2 linked regions of the Elephas maximus indicus genome follow. The protein of the gene in region 1 purifies or fractionates together with the protein of each later gene. This does not show direct contact. Links are inferred from orthologs where the notes say so. Each region holds a gene or a part of one and is shown in the gene's direction. Other genes may lie near its edges.

Region 1 (7,205 bases):
CTTCCCCTGGAGCTGAGGCCCTGAATCTGGACTTTTAGCCTACTTTATGGTGAGGAAGCAAATTTCTCTGTTAAAGCCATCCACTGGTGGTATTTCTGTTATAGCAGCACTAGATGACTAAGACAGTGCTTCAGCATCCGATACTAGTTTCTCAACCCTGCCCACCCAGTCATAAGTCGTTACTTTGTTAAACTCTCCTCCATTTTCCCAGTGAGTGTGCCATCTACTTCCTGTCAGGTTCTGACTGATATATCTTCCCAGAAAATTTCAAAGTAATATCTGTACTTCCACGGATGACTACCTCCCCCAGTTCCCACACTATACACATATAAACCTGTTAACCTTTGCCTTTGTGCCAATTCTGACTCATGGAGACCCTATAGAACAGAGTAGGGTTTCCAAGGAGCAGCTGGTGGATTTGAACAGCTGGCCTTTTGGTTAGTAGCTGCACATGCCCTTAACTACTGAGCCACCAGGGCTCCATACCCAAGCTGTCTAATCTTAGTTTATGCTTGTAAAGCATCTATCTCAGGGGCTGGCATATATTATTATGTACTCAATAATTATTCATTCCTTTCCATTCTTCTCACCCACAATCTAACACCCCACATGAGGTATTATTACCCTATCTTAGTCATCTAGTGCTGCTATAACAGAAATACCACAAGTGTATGGCTTTAGCAAAGAGAAGTTTATTCTCTTACAGTCCAGCAGGCTAGAAGTCTGAATTCAGGGTGCCAGCTCCAGGGGAAGGCTTTCTCTGTCGGCCCTAGAGGAAGCTGCTTGTCATCAGTCTTCCCTTGGTCTGGGAGCATCTCAGCACAAGAACCTCAGGTCCAAATGATGTGCTCTGCTCCTGGTGCTGCTTTCTTGGTGGTATGAGGTTCCCATGTCTCTCTCCTCACTTCTCTTTTTTATATCTCAAAAGAGATTCGCTTAAGACACTATCTAATCTTGTAGATTTCATCAACAGAACTGACACTAATGCATCTTACTACATCATCGTAATAGGATTTACAACACATAGGGAAATCACATCAGATGATAAAATGGTAGACAATCTTACAATCATACAAGTGAATCATGACCTAGCCAAGTTGACAGACATTTTGGGGGAACACAGTTCAATCCATTACTTACCCCTATTTTTTTCAACAGGTCTCATTGAGGTTAAATAACTCTTGCTGAAAACGACAGTAAAAAAGTAAAAGAATTGGGTCTCAAACCAAGATCTGCCTCATTGCACCTTACCACTCCACTTTTCACTACATCATGGTACAATCTTATTTGTACCCCTCAGCACTGCTTACTGTGGCGGTCGCCATACAGTAGCTGCATTAAAAATATTTATTGAGTAGTGAAATGAATAAATTCTGTCATCACTCATACATTCATTAAGTTGTTACATAAGTTGTAAGAAAAAATAAACAGTATGGTTACTAATTTTGAGCCTCTTTAGCTCCGTAAAAAGTGGTCGTTGATGTTGAAAAACACTTCCAGTCATATTGTTACTGCATTTTACTGAGGTTCAGCCCTTCATATGAACATTGTGACCCTTAACATGGCATTTCATCTTCAGCAATTTCCAGAAACAAATCATTACAGAGCTCAATGTAAGAGCATTAGAAGCAACACATTTTAAAACCATGGTAAAAACTTTATTTTTCAAGTGGCCAGTGGCAATGATGCTAATGAGAGTTTCCTAAATAGTTTATGCCTGTAGCGTACCTCTATTTTACCTGTTTTGGTTTCTGCCTGTTTTCCAACCTTGATTCTCAAGCTTTTCAGTCAATTTTGCCAGTTCACTGATATCCTTACAATAAAAAAAAAAAAAAAACTAAACTACTCATTGCCATCGAGTCAATTCTAACTCATAGTTGTTGTTGCTGTTAGGTGTGTCAAGTTGGTTCTGACTCATAGCGACCCTATGTACCACAGAGTGAAACACTGCCTGGTCCTACATCCTTACAATTATTGTTATGCTTGAACCCATTGTTGCAGCCACTGCGTCAATCCATCTCATTAAGGGTCTTCCTCTTTTGGGCTGACCCTGTACTTTACCAAGCATGATGTCCTTCTCCAGGGACTGATCCCTCTTGACAATATGTCCAAAGTATATACGATGCAGTCTCGCCATCCTTGCTTCTAAGGAGCATTCTGATTGTACTTCTTCCAAGACAGATTTATTCATTCCTTTGGCAGTCCATGGTATATTCCGATTCACAGCGACCCTATAACACCAAAACCAAACCCGTTGCAGGACAGGGTAAAACTGCCCCATAGGGTTTCAAGGAGAGGCTGGTGGATTTGAACTGTCAACATTTCAGCTAGTAGCCAAACGCTTAACCACTCACTGCACTACCAAGGCTCCATTCTTACAATAAGTTTCCTTATTGCTTATGTCAGTTTATTGCAGCTAAGTGCATCCTGAATGATATGAGCTTGCCAATGTTAGGCCATTTTTTACCTATTAAAAATTGCCATTTCTTGAGGTTCATCCTAACAGAATTTGGAAAAAGGAAGTGCAGTGCTTGAAATGTGGAGTTGACTGAGTCAAGGAGGTGAAGTGGAAGGTGTGATGCCCCACCCCACCACCACTAATCTAAAAAATGCTCTCACCGTTCATCCTGAGTGGCTCCTTTCTCTCAAAATGCCCCATGGGAGAAAAAAAGGAAATCAGTATTTTTCAATGGCAGACACTTTGCATATTATCTCATTTAACTTACCATCATCCTTCATGAAGCAGATGTTATAACCACAATTTTAAAGATTCTAAGATTGAAGATGAGAGAGGTTATTTAACTTTCCCGTAAGATCATCTAACTCTTAAAGTACCTGAACAAAATTTGTACCCAGATCTCTTTGTACTGTGACCTCAACCAAAGTCAAAGTGTTTTCCTCTATACCAGGACAGATGAGGCTGAGATTATCACTGTAGGAATGAATTCTGGCCAGTCTGTATCTTAGGAAACACAATCTAATTTAGCCTGTTTTTAAATGGGTTAAAAACAAAGAATGGGGGACAGTTTCAAACTGGAGAAACATCTTTGAATAGTTTATTGACCATGTGACGCAGATCACTTAGGTCCTATCAGGCCTCAGTTTTCTCATCTGTAAAATAAGACGTTTGGGCCTGATAACACATTTTCCCAGTTCCTTTACTGCTTGGACATTCTATTGAGAGAGAACTCACTTGCCTCAAGATGCGGCCACCTTGATGGGTAAAAAAGAAAAAAAAATTTTTTTTTTCTTTTTTGTTGGGTAAAAAAAATAAAAAGATTTTTTTTGTTGTTGTTGGGTAGGCTTTGAAAATTAGTGTGTTCAAGTTAAGAGGCATTTGAACTATTCCAGAGAAAGCCAACTGAGGATCTGAAGGCAGGAATGAGGGGCAATGGAGGTGAAGGTATGAAAGAAGAGGAGGACTGGAGCTAGAGATGGAAACACAAAAAGTATAGGAGCATGCAGATGACTCAAGAGAACAACAAACGGGTATACAGCGTTTATAATGCAAACGAAACTGCTGGTCCTCTAAGGATGCAGGATAAAGACCCTGAGCTCTCAAGGCGCTCACGGAATGCCCGGAGGTTACATTGCATTTATCGGAGATCAATACAACTTCGATCCCTCTAGAAGCCCCGACGGAAAGATGAAAAGAAAACTGAAAAACAACTTCCTAAAAAACAAAAACGTTTGAATGTGCTGGGGCAACGTGAAAAGATAATCTCTGGAAACAAATGGGACACACTGGCACGCCGGATGCGCGAGTAGCACAAGGGAATGAGGAATGACGCACCTCCGTCCCTCAGACATAATCCGAACACACACAAAAAAGCCCGCCCGGGCCCTCAGCCGCGCACCCCTTCCTCTCTGCTAGCGGAGCGCCAAAGGCTGTGCAGAGACGACCACCACCCCCGACCACTCCCCCGCCTCCATCCCTCGGGCCTCGGAAGTGACGCAGAGCGCCCCGCCCCCGCCGCTAGATCCGCTGCTGCTGCCGCGGCGGGCGGATCTGCAGGAGGCGGCGGCCGAGGCCGAGAGAAAATGGCGGACGGTGTGGACCACATAGACATTTACGCGGATGTGGGCGAAGAGTTCAACCAGGTACGTAGGGACCCGGCCCGCCCTGTCGAAGCGGGCGGCGCTGCGGCCCGGGCTCTGACCCGGGCCCCGTCGCTTACCGCGAGCCGGCAGGCTGCAGATCGTGCGCCCTTGTCCCCTCCGGGCCGCGCCGCCCGGTCCCGGCGCGGCGCCCCCCTCCCCCCGCCCCTCGTTCCACCGCGTCGTTTCGCGGGCCGCGGGCGCTGCGGCCTGTCGCGGGGCCCGGAGTCCGGACGCGGGCCGCCGTGCAGCCGCCGTCGCCCCTCCCTCGCCTCGCTCCCCATTGTTGGCGGCGGCCATCGGCTGCTTCCCGCCGCGCTAGGCCGGGGCGGCGGGGCCGCGTGTGTGCGGCGGGGAGAACGGGCACCGCCGCGCCCCCTCCTCTGCCGCCGGGCGGAGGAGGAAGCCCTGGCGGGGCTCGCGCCGGCTGCAGCCTCTTTCCTGGCCCCACCGCTCGGGCTCTGATTCCTCTTGTCGCTCTCCATTTTGTCTCTCTAACCGCGCACGGTCGCTTCGTGGAAGGCCGCATTCACGGCCCTTTGTATCCCGCGCGCCCAGTTTCTTGGGCGTCCCTGCTTGGTTTGCGGCAGGTTTCGGCGTGTCTCTTTCCTCCTCCTCCGCTCACGCTTCCTGAAGGCGGGTTAGGTGTGGGCACGTTTGCAACAAGTCCTTTGACTTTGGACCCACAGATCGTATATAAAAGTCGGTGCTTTGGCGCTGCTTATTAATCGAGGGCTTGCGGTGCTTGTGAGGCCCAGTCGCTCTTGGCCTTTGTGGTGAAAATACCCGTGAAGATGGCTTGAGCAAAAAGAATTGGAAGCGCAGTGGTGGGATGGAACAAAAAGATGGTAGCTCAACAAGAGATTAGACATAGAGGAGTGATTGAAAATGAAGACCGTTCACGCGAATTTCTTATGCTGTTTTAGAAATAAAGACTTGTAGATATGACCCTGTTTTCGAAAGCGAAGTGTTAAATTTCTCCCGTAGGACATGCTTTTACATTTTGAGAGGTTGGAGGAAGGAGAATGCAAGGTTTTTCCAGTATCAAAGGCCACGGTTGCCTGGAAGAATCGCCCGCAGAGTAATCATGCCTGATGGTGGGCATCCTTCTAAAAGATCTAGTCTGTTACTAGTGACGTTTAAGCGCTAAGTGTGCTGTTCACGTCTTCACTGCATTTTATATACGTAAAAGAAAAAAATCAAATTGTGCCTGAATAAATATAGTGCACCTAAAAGCATTGTTTTTTTGTTTTTTTTTTTATTTTCCAGGTTCGTATGAGAAGCTTAATAAAATTCTGCTTAATGTGTGCTTCCCCCCACCCCGCCCCAAGGGCATTATTTGTGATTAAGGGCCCAAGATTTTTAAAAGCATGGAAATCACAGAAATCCTTACTGTTTGTCAAAAATGACTTAGTACCCTGGTTTAAATATTCGAAAAGAAAAAAATTTCCAATTGTTTCTTACTCTCAAAAACTGGATATGTTTAAATGTAACTCATTGTTATCGAATGTTAAATTGAAAAAAATTTTATTCTTAAATTTTGGGTATGTGTTGTGTCAATTGCAAATGAGAAAATTTCATTGAGTGCTACACAGAGTCGGATTCTAATGCTTTTAACGTCAGTAGACAAAGATCTCTAGGAAATTTTTTTTTCTTTTTTGCTTTAACATTCCATCCAAAAGAGGGCCATACCTGCAAGTAAAGGCACAATTGAGTAATCAGGATTGTCTTCATTAGCTTTTTTTACAAGAGAATACATTGCTTCGTGTTTCTCCCCACAATTAAGGAAGAATTGGAACATAATTTTAGAAGTTACAGCTTTGTCGAGTCCCTCTTGATGAAATAATTTTAATCTTTAGCGTACTTAATTGGGAGGGACATCTTCCCTACCCAGATAGCTAGATGGAGTGATACTTCTTATCCCTGTGCAGTAAGTGCTGACTGAGCAGGAGGTAAGAAAAGATTACAATTTGGGGGATTTGAGGAGCAACTACTTCATAGGTTCCTTTTTAAAGGTAACTTTTCATTCACTTGTATCTATACCATTATATCTTACACATAGTGTGTGTATAATTTTGCCAGTAAAATCTTTATACCTTTGAATAGATTTAATGGGTGTGGGGCTACAAGTTTATTAAGTAGAGGTTTTGTTTCTCTCATTTTGCATGTCATTGGCTTCTGTAATATGCTTGCTATGGTAATTCCTGTTTTTTTTTATGGCCACAAAAGGGTGGTCATTTTCAAGGTTCATCTTGCTTTTTTTTTTTTTTTTAATATTAGACCGTCTTTGAAATGTTTTTCTGTAATATATCAGAATTAGAGGCAACTGCAAAGTTATCGAAGACTGATTTAATTTATGCTCTTGTTAGCTGGTGGCCTTATTTCTACTGGTTGTTTAAACTATAAGACTTTATTGTAGTTGAAAGAGATTATCTTACTAGTTACTAGTCTTGACTTATTTTTGGCTTTTAAACTACTGTAAATATTAAAAAAAAAACAACTTTGTTCTCTGATGTGAGCTGCATTTCTAACTGAATTTGTATACCTTGAAATTCTCTGTAGTCTGTATTATCCATTTTCTACTGTGAAAGCATGGCCATTTCTTTTATGAAGTCTTTTTGTCCTTGTATTTTGGTAATGCACCGTATTAACCTACTTTAAAAAGTGTAAGTCATTCGGTTGTCATAGAAGAAACTTTAATTTGTTTGAGAACGGGTGAGAATAAAACAGTGAAACTATAGTAGAGGTCCTTTCTTCACCAGATGAACTTTAGAATGGAGAAGAAAGTTGGAGGAAGGAAGAAGACACAAGAGAGTAGGCTGTTCTTTATGGGTGCTCTTTAGTTCTTGAAGGTCTTTGGATGTCACCAAATTGAGACTGAGAACAGTTGCCCTAGTGGAGGGAGAATTTAAACTACTTCCAAACCTCTACATTACTTGAATTTGGAGTTGAGAAGAAAGAGCTTCTGTCTTGGCCTCTATGGTATATTAGTTCAGTTTGAACGGGGATTTGTACTCAGTGTAGTAGCTAGCCTAATATTTGGTGAATACAATATGCTTTTTTGCCCAAAACTAAATAATAATTTTTTAAAACCTCAATTGTTCATA
Region 2 (8,365 bases), on another chromosome or scaffold:
CCAGAAGGGCAATCACGGTGTGAGAGGTGTGCACACTCAGAGGCTGGCCTAAAGACAGTTTTTCGGCCTTTTAGTATTAGTTTGCAGGAAGCTGCTACTGCCCTTAGGCAAGGAGGCCATCCTTGTGTGGGCAAATCCAGTTGCTTGGGGAAGTATCCTATGAGTCTCTGGTGAGGTCTCAGGCTCTGGGTAAAGACTCCCAGGGGTATCCTTTTGCATTCATGGGTGTAAAGATGAAAAGGCTTTTCCAAGTCAGGGAGGCCTAAAGCAGGGGCCTTTAATAAAGCAGCCTTTATTTCCTTAAAGGCCTGTCGATAGCTAGGAGACCAAATGAATGGGTCTCCATCTCCCCCTTTCATAGCTTCGTAAAGGTGTTTTGCTATCAGTACAAAGTTTGGGATCCATATTCTACAAAACCCAGCCATGCCTAAAAACCCTCTGAGCTCCCATCTGTTTGATGGTTTTTGAGTGGCACAAATGGCCTCCTTGCATGCAGGAGGTGGGGTTTAAGTTCCTTGTGATATGAGGAATCCCAAATATCGGACCTGTAGCTGGGATATCTGGGCTTTTTCCTTCCAGACTTTGTATCCCAACTGGGCCAGGAGATTGAAAATCTTAATGGTATTTTGGTCAGAGGCCTTTCGCCCTTCACTGGCGATGAGAAGATCATTAACATATTGGAGCAGGACACCCTCCTCTAATTTGAGGCCCTGGAAATCCTGACTGAGTGCTTCCCCAAAGACGGCTGTGCTGTTTTTAAATTCCCAGAGAATTACAGTCCAAGTTAATTGGGACTTGTGTCCTGTGTTGTAGTCTTCCCACTCTAAGGTGAACAGTGGCTGAGATTTCTGCAATGGGGATGAAGAAAAATGCACCTTTTAAATCAAGCACGGAGAAGTAGTTACAGTCTCCAGGTACTACAGCTAGCGAGGTATGGGGGTTCGGGACATTGAGTGGATATCACTTACGATTTGGTTGATGGCTCTCAGGTCCCGTACCATCCTGTATTCTCTGTTGGATTTCTTTACTGGCAGGATGGGTGTGTTGTATTCTGACTGGCATGGTCAAAGCATTCCCATTTTCAAGAATTGGGTTACCAGTTTCTCAAGTCCCTCTTGAGCCTCTCTTCTCATGGGATACTGCTTTAGATTGGGAGTTCCAATCCCTTCCCTTAGTTCGATTACCACTGGGGCTGCAGACACTGCTCTTCCAGGCTCTCCACTAGCCCATACAATGGGGTGTACTACTTGTAGGATGTGTTCCAGTATTTGGGAGGAGTCTTCTAATCTCTGGGGCAGGAGAACGGCTTGTAACCACCAGCCCTCCTAGGCTGGAGCCTGGATTTGGATAACCGGGTTTTCAGTCCCATGAAAGGAGATAAACCAAAACAAACCAAACCCAGTGCTGTCGAGTAGATTCCGACTCATAGCAACCCTATAGGACAGGGTAGAACTACTCCACAGAGTTTCCAAGGAACGCCTGGCGGATTCAAACTGCCGACACTTTGGTTAGCAGCCGTAGCACTTAACCACTACACCACCAGGGTTTCCATGAAAGGAGATACTGGCCCCTAATTTGGACAGCAAATCCTGTTCCAATAAGGTGGTCAGGCATTCTAGTATGTACAGGAATTGATGAGACTGGAGTTCCCAGTTGTGCATATAGCTGACTTAAAAAAGTTCTTATAATTTACTTTTCTTGACACACCAACAGTTGGAGTCCTTTTGGCGCTCAAGGGTAAGGTAAGGGGATCATTTAAAGCCGAGTGGGTGGTCCATGTGTCTAAGAGGAATTGAACTGGCCTCCCCTCTATTGTTAGGTTAACCCTGGGTTGTTCAGGGGAGATAGTGACAGTCTGTCCCTCTTGGAGCCAGTCTGTGGGAAGTCCCAGGCCCCTTCCCGGTTGGAGGTCACTCACCACATACTTGGCCGGCCAGCCTTGTTCAGGGCACTCATTTTTCCAGTGTCCCTCTTTATGACAGTAAGGCACATTGGTTCCTTTTCAGGGGGCCAAAGTTCCCCCTGGCAGGTTTTTTTCCCTTCTCTTGATGCTGGTTGATATGGTGAGGGGAATGGTTTCCCAGTTAAGGCTGCCACCAGCAGGGTAGCCTCTTGTCTTGCTCAGAGAGTCTCCTTCTGCTCTTGTTCCTGGTCCCTGTTATTAAAAACTTTAAAGGCTGTTTCAACGAATTGAGAGGTAGGCAAACCTGGCCCTCCATCCAATTTCTGGTTTTTTGTATATCTGTAGAGCTTTGTACTGTGAAGATGGTATTAACCATTTGTTGATTCTCACTAGCTGCCAGATCCGTATCAGTGTGTCTCTGGAAGGCCTGGAAAATTCTTTCAAGAAACTCAGAAGGGTTTTGTTTAGGGTTCCTGAATTACTTCATAAATTTTTGAGAGGTTTTTCTGTTTTTGTACCCCAGTTTTGTACCCTTCTAGTAAGCACTTTCTATAATGCCTCAGCCTACTCATGCCTTCCTTCGAATTGTAATCCCACTTTGGATCAACTCCAGGGACTGTGTTCTTGGCTGGCAGTTTGTCAGGATTTTGGGGGTCTTCATTATGTTCTTTATCAGCGAATTGTCTAGCCTTTTCCAAAACCATTCTCCTCTCTTCAGAAGAGAGAAGAACTTCCACCAGAGACTGGCAGTCTGCCCAGGTGGGCTGATGGGTATTAAAGATGGATGAAAATATGTCATGGATCTTTTGAGGATCCAGATGCTGTGTTGGGAAATTATTTTTCTAGTTAAACAAATCTGAAGCGGTGAAGGGGACATGCGTCAAAGTGTTCCTAATTCTCCTGTCTACTCCTGTCCCAGCCGGTGCCTCCCTTAAAGGGAATTGGACCACTTCTGGATCACGCTCCTTGTCAACACTCTGGAGGAAATGGACTGGCCTTGGCCAAATGTAGCACCACTGTGGGTGTGAGGTGGGAAGACCATTCCTGTTCCTGGGGTCCCAGGATCAATGCAGGCCGCTCCCGAGGCCCCGGGGCTGGGGTCAGCAGGAACCACTTGGGAAATCTGATGGTAAATAAGATTACATGGGGGTGACAGTCCCACTACAAGCTTGGACTCTTCTCTCTCGAGAATTTGTTTAGACTTCTGATTAACCTGAACCATCAATCTGCTTTGCTATTGTAATCCCTGATTATAACACAGAGTCATGAACACTTGAACATAAGGTATCTCATCCTACTTACGCGTTTTCTTACAAATCTAACTGCAATATGGTATTATAGTGCAAACTTACCTTGGCCAGCCACTTCTCCTGACCTTCTAAGTTATATTGAGGCCAAGCTGTGCCACAGAGGAACCTCGAATGCTTCGTCCTGGTGTCACCAGTTTTAAAAAAATCCCAGTGGGTCAAGATGCACTCTAAGGGGGATGGTTTAGGGGTGGACTGACCGGCAGCCATCTTGTTTATAGATCTTATCGCTTCTAATCAGTAGGCCAGGGGAAGGATGTATTCGAGAGGCCCTGACTATACGGAGGCGCGGAACTCGGTTACCCTGATACATAATCTCAGGTGGAGCAATTCAAGTACCACACCTTCCACAGCCAATATTTGTAAGGACCGTACTTTGCTCCAACTGAGTTACTGTCTTATACGAGACTCAGTATCTAAAATTAGAAAGGATGTTTCAGTACACTCCTCATAAGAGAGATAGACATAAAACCATCCTGCGCAGGGAGACTTCCGAGCTAGAACATGAGACAAACGGGGGCGGGGGGGGGCCCAAGACACAGGGACAATATTCCTTAACCAGATCCTATAACAAGATCCTGGCCAAAAAAAAAAAAAAATGCAGGGGTTGAGACAAAAGACCAGATGGAGACCTGTGCCCTCATGCAGGTGGGGACTCAGCCCCAGGACACAGGGAGATCACCACAAGGCCTAATAACACCCGTTACTGAGGACACGACCAACCACCTAGTAGCTCCTCCAAAATGAAACTTAAAATAGGTACCTGTTTCATGGCACTGTCAGAATGTTTCTCTTCTCCAGTGGGGGACTTGTGGGTTGTCTGGTCTGGGGCTGGTGCGGCCCAGAAAGTCCTCCTGACCCAATGGAGCGTCAAGGGTGCCCTCTGGAGGAGGTTTCAGGACCTAATTTACCCTGAGCCAGAGTCTCCACTGCGTCCCATCTGGGGTGCCAGATGAAGCCCTCAACTAATAGGTTCTTGTTAAGCAGACTAGCGAGTTGAAGTCAGCCAGACACAAGGGTGGAAGAACAGAAAGGTTTATTCGGTTTGCAAACCGGGAGGCAGGCAGGGTCTCGTGACCTAAGACTGCCAGCTCCCTGAACCAGGGCAGATTTGCCCCTTTTATAGGGAGTGACATACATATGCGTGAACAGTGTGGGGAGGGTCCTCAGTCTTGTGATGCGTGGGCAGTCTGCATAATTTTTGTGAATGAGTTTTGGCCCACGGCTCTAAAAATATTGTGCACAGCCCTAAAAAAATGGTGATGGTTCCCTACTGCCACTGAAGGAAGGTCATACAGCAGGTAAATTTGGAGTTAGTGCACCTACGCCTTGGCCTTCTGCCAGGAGAAGAGAAGAAACCCGGGATTCAACCAATCATGGTGAAGTGCTGTAAAATTTGTAACAAAAATGTAGCAAGAGTAAACTTTTCTGAAATACAACTACTATGGGATGGCTAATATAACCCTTAATAACACTTTCATGACTGCCTGCTTCACAACGACCCTATAGGACAGAGTAGAACCGCCCCACAAGGTTTCTGAGGCTGTAATCTTTACAGAAGCAGACTGCCACATCTTTCTCCTATGCTGGTGGGTTCGAACCATCAACGTTTCGGTTGGCAGCCAAGCACTTTTAACCACTGTGCCATCAAGGCTCTTGCTTAGTAAAACCAAAAACCAAACCCATTGGGGTTAAGTAGATTCCCACTCATAGTGATCCTATAGAACAGGGTAGAACTGCCCCATAAGGGTTTCTAAGGAGCGGCTGGGGGATTCCAACTACCCAGTTAGCAGCCGAGCTCTTAACCACTGCACCGCCAGAGCTCCTGGCTCAGTAAAACTAGGTTTTATCACAGGTTTACTCAAGGGCTAGCTGTTTTCTAAGCCCAGACTGCACGGGTCTCCTTCAAGCCCCGCCCCCACCAGCAGGCCCTGCCCCATCCCCACTCAGTCCCTCCTCCTCCTCACCAGGTCCCGCCCCAGCTGGTGGTGGTTCCTCCAACCACCAGGGAGCGACGGAGCTGAGGACCACCTTCTGCACTAACCGGGTGACACTCTGGGTAGCGGCAGCGGCTCCTCTGTGGCCAGTTGTGGCGGCGCTCTAGCCGCCGGGTGTGCGGAGCGGGCTCTCAGTGGTGCGGCCGGCGGGCGGCGATGGCGGCCGTACGGGGCCTGCGAGTGTCGGTGAAGGCGGAGGCCCCGGCAGGGCCGGCCCTGGGGCTCCCTTCGCCAGAGGCCGAGCCTGGCCTGGAGCGCGGCGAACCAGAGCCTATGGAGGTGGAGGAGGGCGAGCTGGAGATCGTGCCGGTGCGGCGCTCGCTGAAGGAGCTGATCCCGGTACGGGCGGGGGGCGGGGGTCGGAGAGGAGGTCGCGGAGGGAGTGCCCCGCGCTCGAGGGGGCCGGAAGGGGAGGTGGCTGGCGCCCGGGCCGGGGGAAGTTGGGGGTGAGGAGGAGAGGGGCGCGGGCGCCCGGGGGGCGGGGGGCCAGGCTTGAGGAAGGGGAGAGAGAGAAAGGATGCTGGGAGCCCGGAAACGGGTGGTGAGGGGGCTGGAGGACCGGCGGGAGAGCTGGGGGGTAGTTGAGGACACCCTACGCTGCTTCCCTGAACCTGTTTGTGGAAGGGAGTGAGCGAGGAGCCGCCGGGTTTGAGATAATGGGGACACCCGGGGCGGGAACAGAACCAGGGGCGGCCCAGAAGGAAGTGTTGGGTGGCCCTGGCGTCCAGGTCTCCTTGTGGGTCTTGCTTTAGTGTAGTTGGTGTTTTAAACCTGGCACTCGCGGTCTCTCTGGGGAGCACTGGCTTTGTCAGCAGCAGAAACTCACGGTGTTTTCTGTTGTGGCTTGAGGGTCATCTTGCCTCGGCGCAGCTCCACTGCGGTACAGGACCTACACCGTTGCCCCAGCATCTGACCTCTAATGAAACCAGAGTAGGTGCACCAGTCATCTTTCTCGGCCCCTCTTTTATCACAAGGGGGATGGGGAGAGGTGTTTTGCTTGTGGTTTGGTGGTCGTACGGTGCGGTTTTCAGACAACTGGTCTCCGGCCTGGATGGTCCTCTCATATCCTTAAATTCTCACCTGCCATAAAATACTTTTCACCACGTCAGCAAGTCTTGCTTTAAACTGAAGTCGTGAGAAAAGGTTAAGGTAGGCTTACTAGAAATGGCCGATGATAATAAACATAATGGCACTTTACCGTTTACTGCATTATGCTGTTTAAATATCATTGCACCTGTGAAGTAGGTATTATCGTTCTTTTGTTCATTCAGTTCAGTATCTGTTGCACCCCTCATTATGTGCCAGGCCGTGTCCTAGGCACTAGATCAAGATAAGTCTCCCTCCTGGAGTTTATATTCTAGTTGGGGGACACAGATAATAAACTAATGAACAAATAATTCCTGATACTGGGATGTGTTTGAAGAAAATAAAACACAGGATAGAGAGTGCAGGGAGTAGGGAGGGCGTGCAGAAGCAGAATGTGATAGGATGGTCAGGGAAGACCTCTGAGGTAGTGACGTTCAAGTCCAACCCTAGATGACAAAAAGGAGCCAACAATGTGCAGGTACAGAAGGGAGTGTGGCCAGTAGCGGGAACAGCAAATGCAAAAGTTCTGAGATGGGAACAAGATTGTTTTGTTGGAGAAATGGAAAGTTCTGTAGCACAAGTGGAACAGTAGTAAAAAAGGTCAGGAAGGTAGGCAGATACCATAGGAGAAACTGAGACCCACAGAGATAAAAGGATTGTCTTTTAATCCTCTGTGTCCAAATCCCATCTTCTTTTCATTGTACTGTGCTGTGTTTTCCCCTTGAACTCTAGGAGAGCCTGGACTCTCTGCATTTTGGTAGACTTGTGCTCCATCTAGTGGCCTAGCCTGGGGAGTTTGTCCAGTCTGGGTTGGGGCGATAAGACATGACTGCACCTCATCTTTGACATTTTCTCCAAAGCCTTCAGATTCACATTTACATGGATATCTTCAGTTGATGGGATTACTTCAGGTTTTGGGTGGGCTCTGATCTAGAAGGGACTTCTTAGAGTCCCTGGGACAGGCTTTCTCATAATAAGGAGTTGTCGGGGATGGGGGAAGTGTTGCTGAAAAGAATGACTATCCAAGGGGAATCACTTGTCAGGCTGCCTTTTATCATGAGTTTTTCTTCAGTTGCTGTCAGCACTTCTCACTGTTCCTCTTTGTGTTAGGACACAAGTAGAAGATACGAAAACAAGGCTGGCAGCTTCATCACTGGAATCGATGTTACTTCCAAGGTAAAACAGACCATGATCGGTTTATTCAGTTTGATAAGTGTCTTGGGAACTTGGTCCCTCAACATAATGCGAGAGTATTATTCTTTACTTCCTTTTTTTTCTTGTTGCTGGATTACGTTTGTTCTTAATTGCATGTTACACAAGGCAGCCCTCATGCATCCCCCAAAAACATCCAGGCAACATTACATCCCCAAAAAGATAAAACTACTATACCTAGATGCCTGTGCTTAACCATTTCCAAGAAGAAATTCTGTGCTAGGAGTGCTTTTTTAATGCTGCGTGTCCATTCTTTCAAAATGTGTGCTTGTGGCCATTTTAAGTGAAAAGTGCCTGGCACATAGTAGGCCCTTAGTAAATGCCTTTATTCCTCATAGGTTGTAGGCTTAGAAAAATAGGGCTTACTGATTGCGTGGCTATCTGAACTTTGAAGGCCAAGTCAACAAAATTATTCCCAGTACCTGAGAGTATTGCCTTTTAACTAGCGATTGCTGTTAACTAGATTACCAGCTTCATTGCACTGTTGCATAGAGCCAGACCTATTGTTTTCCTTATAAGCAATCCGTATGAATTTGTCACTTTGATCGGTTTTATCTAGTTTAGATACCATTTGTGATTTTAACGTGTGCTGTTAAATTTGGAACAGAATTATGAATAGCAGTTCTAAATAACAATACTATATTGGATGTATAAAAGCAAAAATAAAAATTAAATATGTCATGCTTTCTTTTTAATATTTTATCTTTCGGCTTAAAGACCGAAAGAGAATTAGTCATCCTTTAGACAAGCAAGAAAATGGAATAAAGTGAAATGTTTTCTTATTCTTACTGTAATTGAAAAAATTATAGTCTATACTGTTCTTAATCCTACATAGTTTGCCATTATATGGAACAGCTATA

What was found. Proteins that work in one complex are often made in the same cells at the same time.
Region 2: the proteins of CPSF6 (region 1) and NCBP3 purify together in Homo sapiens (co-immunoprecipitation; 3 studies listed by BioGRID and IntAct, with this or other methods). This does not show direct contact. The link is inferred for Elephas maximus indicus from reciprocal best matches to the Homo sapiens genes CPSF6 and NCBP3.

Annotation. Positions count from the first base shown.
Region 1 is NC_064822.1:130,074,076-130,081,280, forward strand, and holds the start of CPSF6 (cleavage and polyadenylation specificity factor subunit 6), read left to right. Parts: upstream 1-3,954; 5' UTR 3,955-4,041; coding exon 4,042-4,101; intron 4,102-7,205. UniProt on the Homo sapiens protein: Component of the cleavage factor Im (CFIm) complex that functions as an activator of the pre-mRNA 3'-end cleavage and polyadenylation processing required for the maturation of pre-mRNA into functional mRNAs.
Region 2 is NC_064837.1:17,352,143-17,360,507, forward strand, and holds the start of NCBP3 (nuclear cap-binding protein subunit 3), read left to right. Parts: upstream 1-5,311; 5' UTR 5,312-5,363; coding exon 5,364-5,546; intron 5,547-6,056; coding exon 6,057-6,137; intron 6,138-7,403; coding exon 7,404-7,469; intron 7,470-8,365. UniProt on the Homo sapiens protein: Associates with NCBP1/CBP80 to form an alternative cap-binding complex (CBC) which plays a key role in mRNA export. NCBP3 serves as adapter protein linking the capped RNAs (m7GpppG-capped RNA) to NCBP1/CBP80.